Xenopus tropicalis: one gene and its partner. The protein of the gene in region 1 interacts with the protein of each later gene in a pairwise test. Links are inferred from orthologs where the notes say so. Each region holds a gene or a part of one and is shown on either strand. Other genes may lie near its edges.

Region 1 (4,064 bases):
AGGCCAAAAAAGTAGAATGGGAGAAAAATGTGCAAAATAAAGCTTTAAAACATATCTGAGGAATTATGGAGTTGGTCTTAAAGGAACAGTAACACCAAAAAATGAAAGTGTATAAAAGTAATTACAATATAATGTACTGTTGCCCTGCATTGCTACAACTGGTGTGTTTGCCTCAGAAAGACTACTATAGTTTATATAAGTAATCTGCTGTGTAGCCATGGGGGCAGCCATTCAAAGGAGAAAAGGCACAGGTTACTTAGCAGATAACAGATAAACCCACATTATATGGGGCTTATCTACTAGTTATCTGCTATGTAACCTGTGCCTTTTCTCCTTTTTTCCAGCTTGAATGGCTGCCCCCATGGCTACACAGCAGCTTATTTATATAGTAGCTTTTGTGTAGCAAAAAACACCAGTTTTTTGCAGAGCAACAGCACATTAAATTACTTTAAAACACTTACATTTTTTGATGTTACTACTGTGGCCATACACGTAGCAATTCCGATCTTTAAAGATCGTTCCCAGAAACAATAGAAATTCTACCTCCACCTGGCAATTCAGCCCTGAATGTAGATTTTGCTTGAACCTGGGCAATCGACCGATATCCGCAGCCTTCTGTGATATCGGCCGCCTCTTCGAGCCGCCATACACGCACCGAATAGCGTATGAAACGAGGTTTCGTATGATAATACTGGTGCGCGTATGGCCAGCTTTAGACCCAGTGGCAGAACTAAGAGTATTTGGGCACCGGTGCAACCCCACCATATCACCAGGGCCTTGGCCCCCATTCCTGCTTTCAGCCTAGTATTACTTTGGGATTTATGGGACGCTGGAATTTCTGGCCACATGGAAGCAGACCTTATCTGGTGGAACCTCACAGTGGAGATGAACCTTCACCCCTTTATTTATGTCACTATTGTGGGGGCGGGGAGGTTTATACAAATTCAGGGGAGGGGGGAGAATAGGATATTTCCATCAGGGGTGGCAACCAAACTATAATCTGTGTGTAGTGACACATATCAGTGTGTGGTGACACATATCAGTGTGTGGTGACACATATTATCTGTGTGGATTTATCAGTCACCTGTTACCTATTCATGCCTGTATCTATCTGACAACTATGTAACAGTCTCTGTATCTATCCCTCTGTGCCTCCATAACCCATTCATGAGCAGCCCCCGCACATGGACGGACCCTCATTCCCGCGCTTCCCCGTTTTCCCTCAGAGATCTCCTGCACACGCTTTGCGCGCCCCCGATGGCTCCTCCCATAAACTGACCATCCCCCCACCTCTCCCGTTCCCTTCCCCCACTCTAGCCCGCTGGCCGCAGGATGGTGCCTGGAGAAGATGGCGGACACCGAGGAGCTGCGGGTGAGGAGAGCAAGGGGGGGGGGGCAGGTGGCTGTCAGTGTGAGAGGAGGCAGAGGGAAGGGGATAAACAGGGACTGTAGCTGGCACAGACTAAATGAGTGCTGCCATTATGCATCATGTGTGTCCCCTCCCTGGGCACTGAGCCTTGGCATGGGCTTGGCACACTGTCTCCCAGCCTCTAGCATATAGACATGCACTGAGGCATGCTGGGTAATAGAGCCAAGAGGAGAGCCAAGGGTGGGAATGGCACAGTTACACTGTGACAGTGAGGCATGCTGGGTAATATAGCCAAGAGGAGAGCCAAGGGTGGGAATGGCGCAGTTACACTATGACAGTGAGGCATGCTGGGTAATATAGCCAAGAGAAAGCCAAGGGTGGGAATGGCACAGTTACACTGTGACAGTGAGGCATGCTGGGTAATATAGCCAAGAGAAAGCCAAGGGTGGGAATGGCACAGTTACACTGTGACAGTGAGGCATGCTGGGTAATATAGCCAAGAGGAGAGCCAAGGGTGGGAATGGCGCAGTTACACTGTGACAGTGAGGCATGCTGGGTAATATAGCCAAGAGGAGAGCCAAGGGTGGGAATGGCGCAGTTACACTGTGACAGTGAGGCATGCTGGGTAATATAGCCAAGAGGAGAGCCAAGGGTGGGAATGGCACAGTTACACTGTGACAGTGAGGCATGCTGGGTAATAGAGCCAAGAGGAGAGCCAAGGGTGGGAATGGCACAGTTACACTGTGACAGTGAGGCATGCTGGGTAATAGAGCCAAGAGGAGAGCCAAGGGTGGGAATGGCACAGTTACACTGTGACAGTGAGGCATGCTGGGTAATATAGCCAAGAGGAGAGCCAAGGGTGGGAATGGCGCAGTTACACTATGACAGTGAGGCATGCTGGGTAATATAGCCAAGAGAAAGCCAAGGGTGGGAATGGCACAGTTACACTGTGACAGTGAGGCATGCTGGGTAATATAGCCAAGAGAAAGCCAAGGGTGGGAATGGCACAGTTACACTGTGACAGTGAGGCATGCTGGGTAATATAGCCAAGAGGAGAGCCAAGGGTGGGAATGGCGCAGTTACACTGTGACAGTGAGGCATGCTGGGTAATATAGCCAAGAGGAGAGCCAAGGGTGGGAATGGCGCAGTTACACTGTGACAGTGAGGCATGCTGGGTAATATAGCCAAGAGGAGAGCCAAGGGTGGGAATGGCACAGTTACACTGTGACAGTGAGGCATGCTGGGTAATATAGCCAAGAGGAGAGCCAAGGGTGGGAATGGCACAGTTACACTGTGACAGTGAGGCATGCTGGGTAATAGAGCCAAGAGGAGAGCCAAGGGTGGGAATGGCACAGTTACACTGTGACAGTGAGGCATGCTGGGTAATATAGCCAAGAGGAGAGCCAAGGGTGGGAATGGCACAGTTACACTGTGACAGTGAGGCATGCTGGGTAATAGAGCCAAGAGGAGAGCCAAGGGTGGGAATGGCACAGTTACACTGTGACAGTGAGGCATGCTGGGTAATATAGCCAAGAGAAAGCCAAGGGTGGGAATGGCACAGTTACACTGTGACAGTGAGGCATGCTGGGTAATATAGCCAAGAGAAAGCCAAGGGTGGGAATGGCACAGTTACACTGTGACAGTGAGGCATGCTGGGTAATATAGCCAAGAGAAAGCCAAGGGTGGGAATGGCGCAGTTACACTGTGACAGTGAGGCATGCTGGGTAATATAGCCAAGAGAAAGCCAAGGGTGGGAATGGCACAGTTACACTGTGACAGTGAGGCATGCTGGGTAATATAGCCAAGAGGAGAGCCAAGGGTGGGAATGGCACAGTTACACTGTGACAGTGAGGCATGCTGGGTAATATAGCCAAGAGAAAGCCAAGGGTGGGAATGGCGCAGTTACACTGTGACAGTGAGGCATGCTGGGTAATATAGCCAAGAGAAAGCCAAGGGTGGGAATGGCACAGTTACACTGTGACAGTGAGGCATGCTGGGTAATATAGCCAAGAGGAGAGCCAAGGGTGGGAATGGCGCAGTTACACTGTGACAGTGAGGCATGCTGGGTAATAGAGCCAAGAGGAGAGCCAAGGGTGGGAATGGCACAGTTACACTGTGACAGTGAGGCATGCTGGGTAATATAGCCAAGAGGAGAGCCAAGGGTGGGAATGGCACAGTTACACTGTGACAGTGAGGCATGCTGGGTAATAGAGCCAAGAGGAGAGCCAAGGGTGGGAATGGCACAGTTACACTGTGACAGTGAGGCATGCTGGGTAATATAGCCAAGAGGAGAGCCAAGGGTGGGAATGGCACAGTTACACTGTGACAGTGAGGCATGCTGGGTAATAGAGCCAAGAGGAGAGCCAAGGGTGGGAATGGCACAGTTACACTGTGACAGTGAGGCATGCTGGGTAATATAGCCAAGAGAAAGCCAAGGGTGGGAATGGCACAGTTACACTGTGACAGTGAGGCATGCTGGGTAATATAGCCAAGAGGAGAGCCAAGGGTGGGAATGGCACAGTTACACTGTGACAGTGAGGCATGCTGGGTAATATAGCCAAGAGGAGAGCCAAGGGTGGGAATGGCGCAGTTACACTATGACAGTGAGGCATGCTGGGTAATATAGCCAAGAGGAGAGCCAAGGGTGGGAATGGCACAGTTACACTGTGACAGTGAGGCATGCTGGGTAATATAG
Region 2 (4,253 bases), on another chromosome or scaffold:
GCCTTCTCTCTATACTTGTATTTATATGTAGGAGTTGCTATATTGTTTTCCTTAGGTCATTCAGTATGAGGGTATAGCACATTTTCGTCTGCACCCGCCATTTCATCTATATAAAAGGGGTATTTTTTTTAAATGGGGTGTGGTAATTGGGGCGTGGCCACAAAAGGGGGCGTGATCAAAAAATTTTGCCGCGCTGCGCACGCCAAATCTTTTTGTCCCTCTTTTCATTTTTCAAATGTTGGGAGGTATGCTCTATATGTTTAGCTCCATGTCCATCATAAGACCAACTGCAGCTGCCTGTGCCCACCACCGATTTTTCCTGACAGGAATAATGGTGTGGTGGCACAGAAAAAGGCAAAAGCATCAGCTGAGCATGCTCTTTGGCATGCTGGAGTACCGTGTGATACTCCAGTGCTGTGCAAATGTAACTTAGTGTGCCAGGCACTGTTCCCACAATGGATTTTTCACTAGTGACATAGAAGAGCATGCTTGCAATGGGGGTAATACTATGTATTACTGTGCAACACTTGCCTATGATGTGGATGCAGTGGTGTAATAATGCTGCTCTGGGCCCCCCTGCAAAGAAACCTGCAGGGGACCTGGCATGGACCTCCCTTCAAGCGCTCAGCCAAACACACCAGATAGGTAAGCTAGTAGCTCGGGAGGGGAATTTTTTAGAGCTGCAGAGGTAGCAGACCCCACAGTCTGCCCCCCTCTCGTGACTGAAGGGTTTGCTTCCTCTATAGTTATGCCAGTATGCGTGCTTAACTGCACTGTAACAGAGTGTGGTGCATCAGGCAAAACTTAATGTGAATACTATATGATTATTGAAATTACTCATTATTAGGGCCTCACTGCAAATCCAGGGCCTGCTTCCTCTGTAGCACAGGCACTGCTGTAAGATGCCATAGACAGGCCCGGATTTGTGGCGAGGCCACAAAGGCCCGGGCCTAGGGCGGCACATACACAGGGGTGGCATGCCGCCCCGCTGCAAGCAAATTTTAACATTTTGCTCCCATACGGAGGAATGGGGAATGCGCAAGTTAGGCGCATTTGCATTTTTGCGGCGGGGGTGGGGGGGGCGTCGAATGGGGGCGGCCTTGGGGCGCCCCAAGTAGAAATCCGGCCCTGGCCATAGACAGTCACTAATTATTGGGCTGTTGTGGGCTGTTTGGGCCTCTGTGTACTCTGTCCCTCATTTCCCTTTGATCTCCTGCACTGAATGCTAAAAAAAGATACAATTACAATCAAAATTGTAATAACACAATAAACCAAGACCCCCCCAAACATGTGTTAAAATTTTAAATAACCTGCCAAATTTTGTAAATGGGAGTGATATTTTAGGGATGTGGTCACAAAAATGGGAGTGGTCAGAAAGTTTCCACCACAGCATTTCTTTTTTTTTTCAAGTGTTTAACATTTTTCCAATTTGTGTGTCCCCCTTCTACTTCCTACTGTGCCCCTCTGATACTAGCAGGGACCCCTTGGGCCCTACAGCCTTGCCATACGGAGCAGCAGTTACTAAGCTGATTAATAGCTGCCATTCCCCTATAGTGCGCATGTATGACTATGCCTGTCTCCATGGAGACGCTCCTGTGATCCGCTCTGCGCTGATGGCTGCGGCATTCTCTATCGATGTGATCGGCGCCTCCTCCTTTGGGCCTGAATGACGCGGTTGCTGCTGGGAGAGAGGTGTCATGGCGGCGCGCTGCGTAGATTCACGTGTGCTGTTCGGCGAAGCTGTCAGGGCTGTTCTGGGCAGCTGGCCGGTGCTGCAGGTGATTTGCTGCATTCAATGAACATTTTATATACGGGTATTAGTAAGCAAGCGAGTCTGTGCCTGTACATTACTTGCAAATGTCGTTTCATAGATCGCGGTGGAGAATGGATTTGGTGGGCCTCACAGCCAGGAGAAGGCGGAGTGGATGGTTGGAGCAATTGACCAGTATTTTAACTCTAATGGTACGTGAAAGGTGATCATTTATGGGCTTTTAACTAATGAACTAGTGAAGGGATGTGTAGAATGGGGGGTTGGGGGCCCCACCACAGGTTTTATTGAGGTTTGAGCATGTATGTATGTATGTTTGTATGTATGTATGTCTTTATTTATAAAGCGCTACTTATGTACGCAGCACTGTACAGTAGAATACATTAATACAAACAGGGGGTTATAAAGATAATAATAGATAAATACAAAGTACAACAATAAATACAGATAGATACAGATAAATACAGCTGCAATAAGTTAAGAGTCGAGGACACAAGAGGAAGGAGGTCCCTGCCCCGTAGAGCTTACAATCTATATGGGAGGGTAACTAACAGACACAAATAGGATGTGAGATACTCGTACTAACAGCGAATACTCTCGCTATTTATAGATTGATAGTTAAAGGGTAAATATAATACTTATTTGCCTTTCTAAGTTCGTCTTTAATTTACTGCTCTACATGCCCTGTTGTGCGCCTTGGTATTGGTGGCTTTTCTCTTTTTATTATCAGCTATTTGCAAGTTGCCTAAATGTTTGCCATGAAATGACAAATAAACACTAAATAATGACTAGAAATGCTTTGTTGCATCTACTGAACTTCTGGGCTAGGCCAGAGACTCGGCAGCCCTGTGATATTAATTACCCATGGTTTTATGTTTATACCATAGAAATATGCATCTTACGGTTTTGTTGGGCCTTATTTTGAGTGTCAGTGACATTGCACATGCTCAGTGAGCACTGGGCAGCTGTAGAGAAGCAAAGCTTAGGGGTCGAGAGAAGTCATTCTATGCAGTGTGCACTGGTTTCTAGGCTGCCATGTAATGTGAACCTGCACTAAATAATCTGCTTGTATTATGAATTGTATATTGTGTGTATACACACACACACTGCAGCGAGTCAGCAGAAAAGAAGAATGGGAGCTATTGGGGGCATCTTTGGGCAGATATAGAAGCTCAAGACATGGGGTCTAACATTTATAGCTTTAAAATTTGTTGAGCTTTTTTTCTCCTTTAGACTGCTGACTGATGTTTATATTTAGCTCACAACTCTATATAGAATACAGCTTTAAAGGACATGTAAACCCCACACACAAAAATGTAATCAGTGAACAGCCTCTTTGAAATCTTTCAATTCCTGCCACACTGGTTGTCCAGAGGTTAATAGTAAGGCTGCAACCCCCTTAATCACTTAGATTTGCTTCTCCTCCTGTAACCCACTCAGCCCCCTCCCTCAGGAATTTGCTTTGGCTGTTGGCTTGTGGGCATGCTCAGTTGTTCTAAGCTCAGATTACTTGCTGAGCAAGGACAGCATCAATGATCCCACATGGTCCTCTCCCAATAGGATACTCTAAGCTGCCAGCTATCTGATGGGAGTTATGTGCACGTAAGCTGATGGCTTGGCCTTTGCCAAATCTCATAAAACTAATGCAGCACCCTCAGGTTTCATAAATCTGCCTTTGTTTCCACAGTTGTGATTGTGCCTGTGTTAAAGGGATATTCACCTTAACATTAATGGGTTTTGTTTTTTTTTTTTGGTTGATCTCCACTCCCCTCCATGTAGCTGCACTCAGGCCAAACCTGTGACTGTTAGTGGAGTGCCTACAAAATGCAGGCTGAGACAAGCCAGGTGTGACTTTGGCCATATAGAGATTATACAGTGGTGTGAAAAACTATTTGCCCCCTTCCTGATTTCTTCTTCTTTTGCATGTTTGTCACACAAAATGTTTCTGATCATCAAACACATTTAACTATTAGTCAAAGATAACACAAGTAAACACAAAATGCAGTTTTTAAATGAGGGTTTTTATTATTTAGGGAGAAAAAAAATCCAAACCTACATGGCCATGTGTGAAAAAGTAATTGCCCCCTGAACTTAATAACTGGTTGGGCCACCCTTAGCAGCAATAACTGCAATCAAGCGTTTGCGATAACTTGCAACGAGTCTTTTACAGCGCTCTGGAGGAATTTTGGCCCACTCATCTTTGCAGAATTGTTGTAATTCAGCTTTATTTGAGGGTTTTCTAGCATGAACCGCCTTTTTAAGGTCATGCCACAACATCTCAATAGGATTCAGGTCAGGACTTTGACTAGGCCACTCCAAAGTCTTCATTTTGTTTTTCTTCAGCCATTCAGAGGTGGATTTGCTGGTGTGTTTTGGGTCATTGTCCTGCTGCAGCACCCAAGATCGCTTCAGCTTGAGTTGACGAACAGATGGCCGGACATTCTCCTTCAGGATTTTTTGGTAGACAGTAGAATTCATGGTTCCA

What was found. The genes of interacting proteins can lie anywhere in the genome.
Region 2: the proteins of pias2 (region 1) and tsr2 interact in binary tests that used the Homo sapiens proteins (3 or more experiments, as listed by UniProt). The two-hybrid records come from large-scale screens. The link is inferred for Xenopus tropicalis from reciprocal best matches to the Homo sapiens genes PIAS2 and TSR2.

The regions. Positions count from the first base shown.
Region 1 is NC_030677.2:206,564,446-206,568,509, forward strand, and holds the start of pias2 (E3 SUMO-protein ligase PIAS2), read left to right. Parts: upstream 1-1,264; 5' UTR 1,265-1,348; coding exon 1,349-1,372; intron 1,373-4,064. UniProt on the Homo sapiens protein: Functions as an E3-type small ubiquitin-like modifier (SUMO) ligase, stabilizing the interaction between UBE2I and the substrate, and as a SUMO-tethering factor.
Region 2 is NC_030684.2:25,372,952-25,377,204, forward strand, and holds the start of tsr2 (pre-rRNA-processing protein TSR2 homolog), read left to right. Parts: upstream 1-1,453; 5' UTR 1,454-1,666; coding exon of another isoform or gene 1,667-1,697; coding exon 1,698-1,778; intron 1,779-1,871; coding exon 1,872-1,962; intron 1,963-4,253. UniProt on the Homo sapiens protein: May be involved in 20S pre-rRNA processing.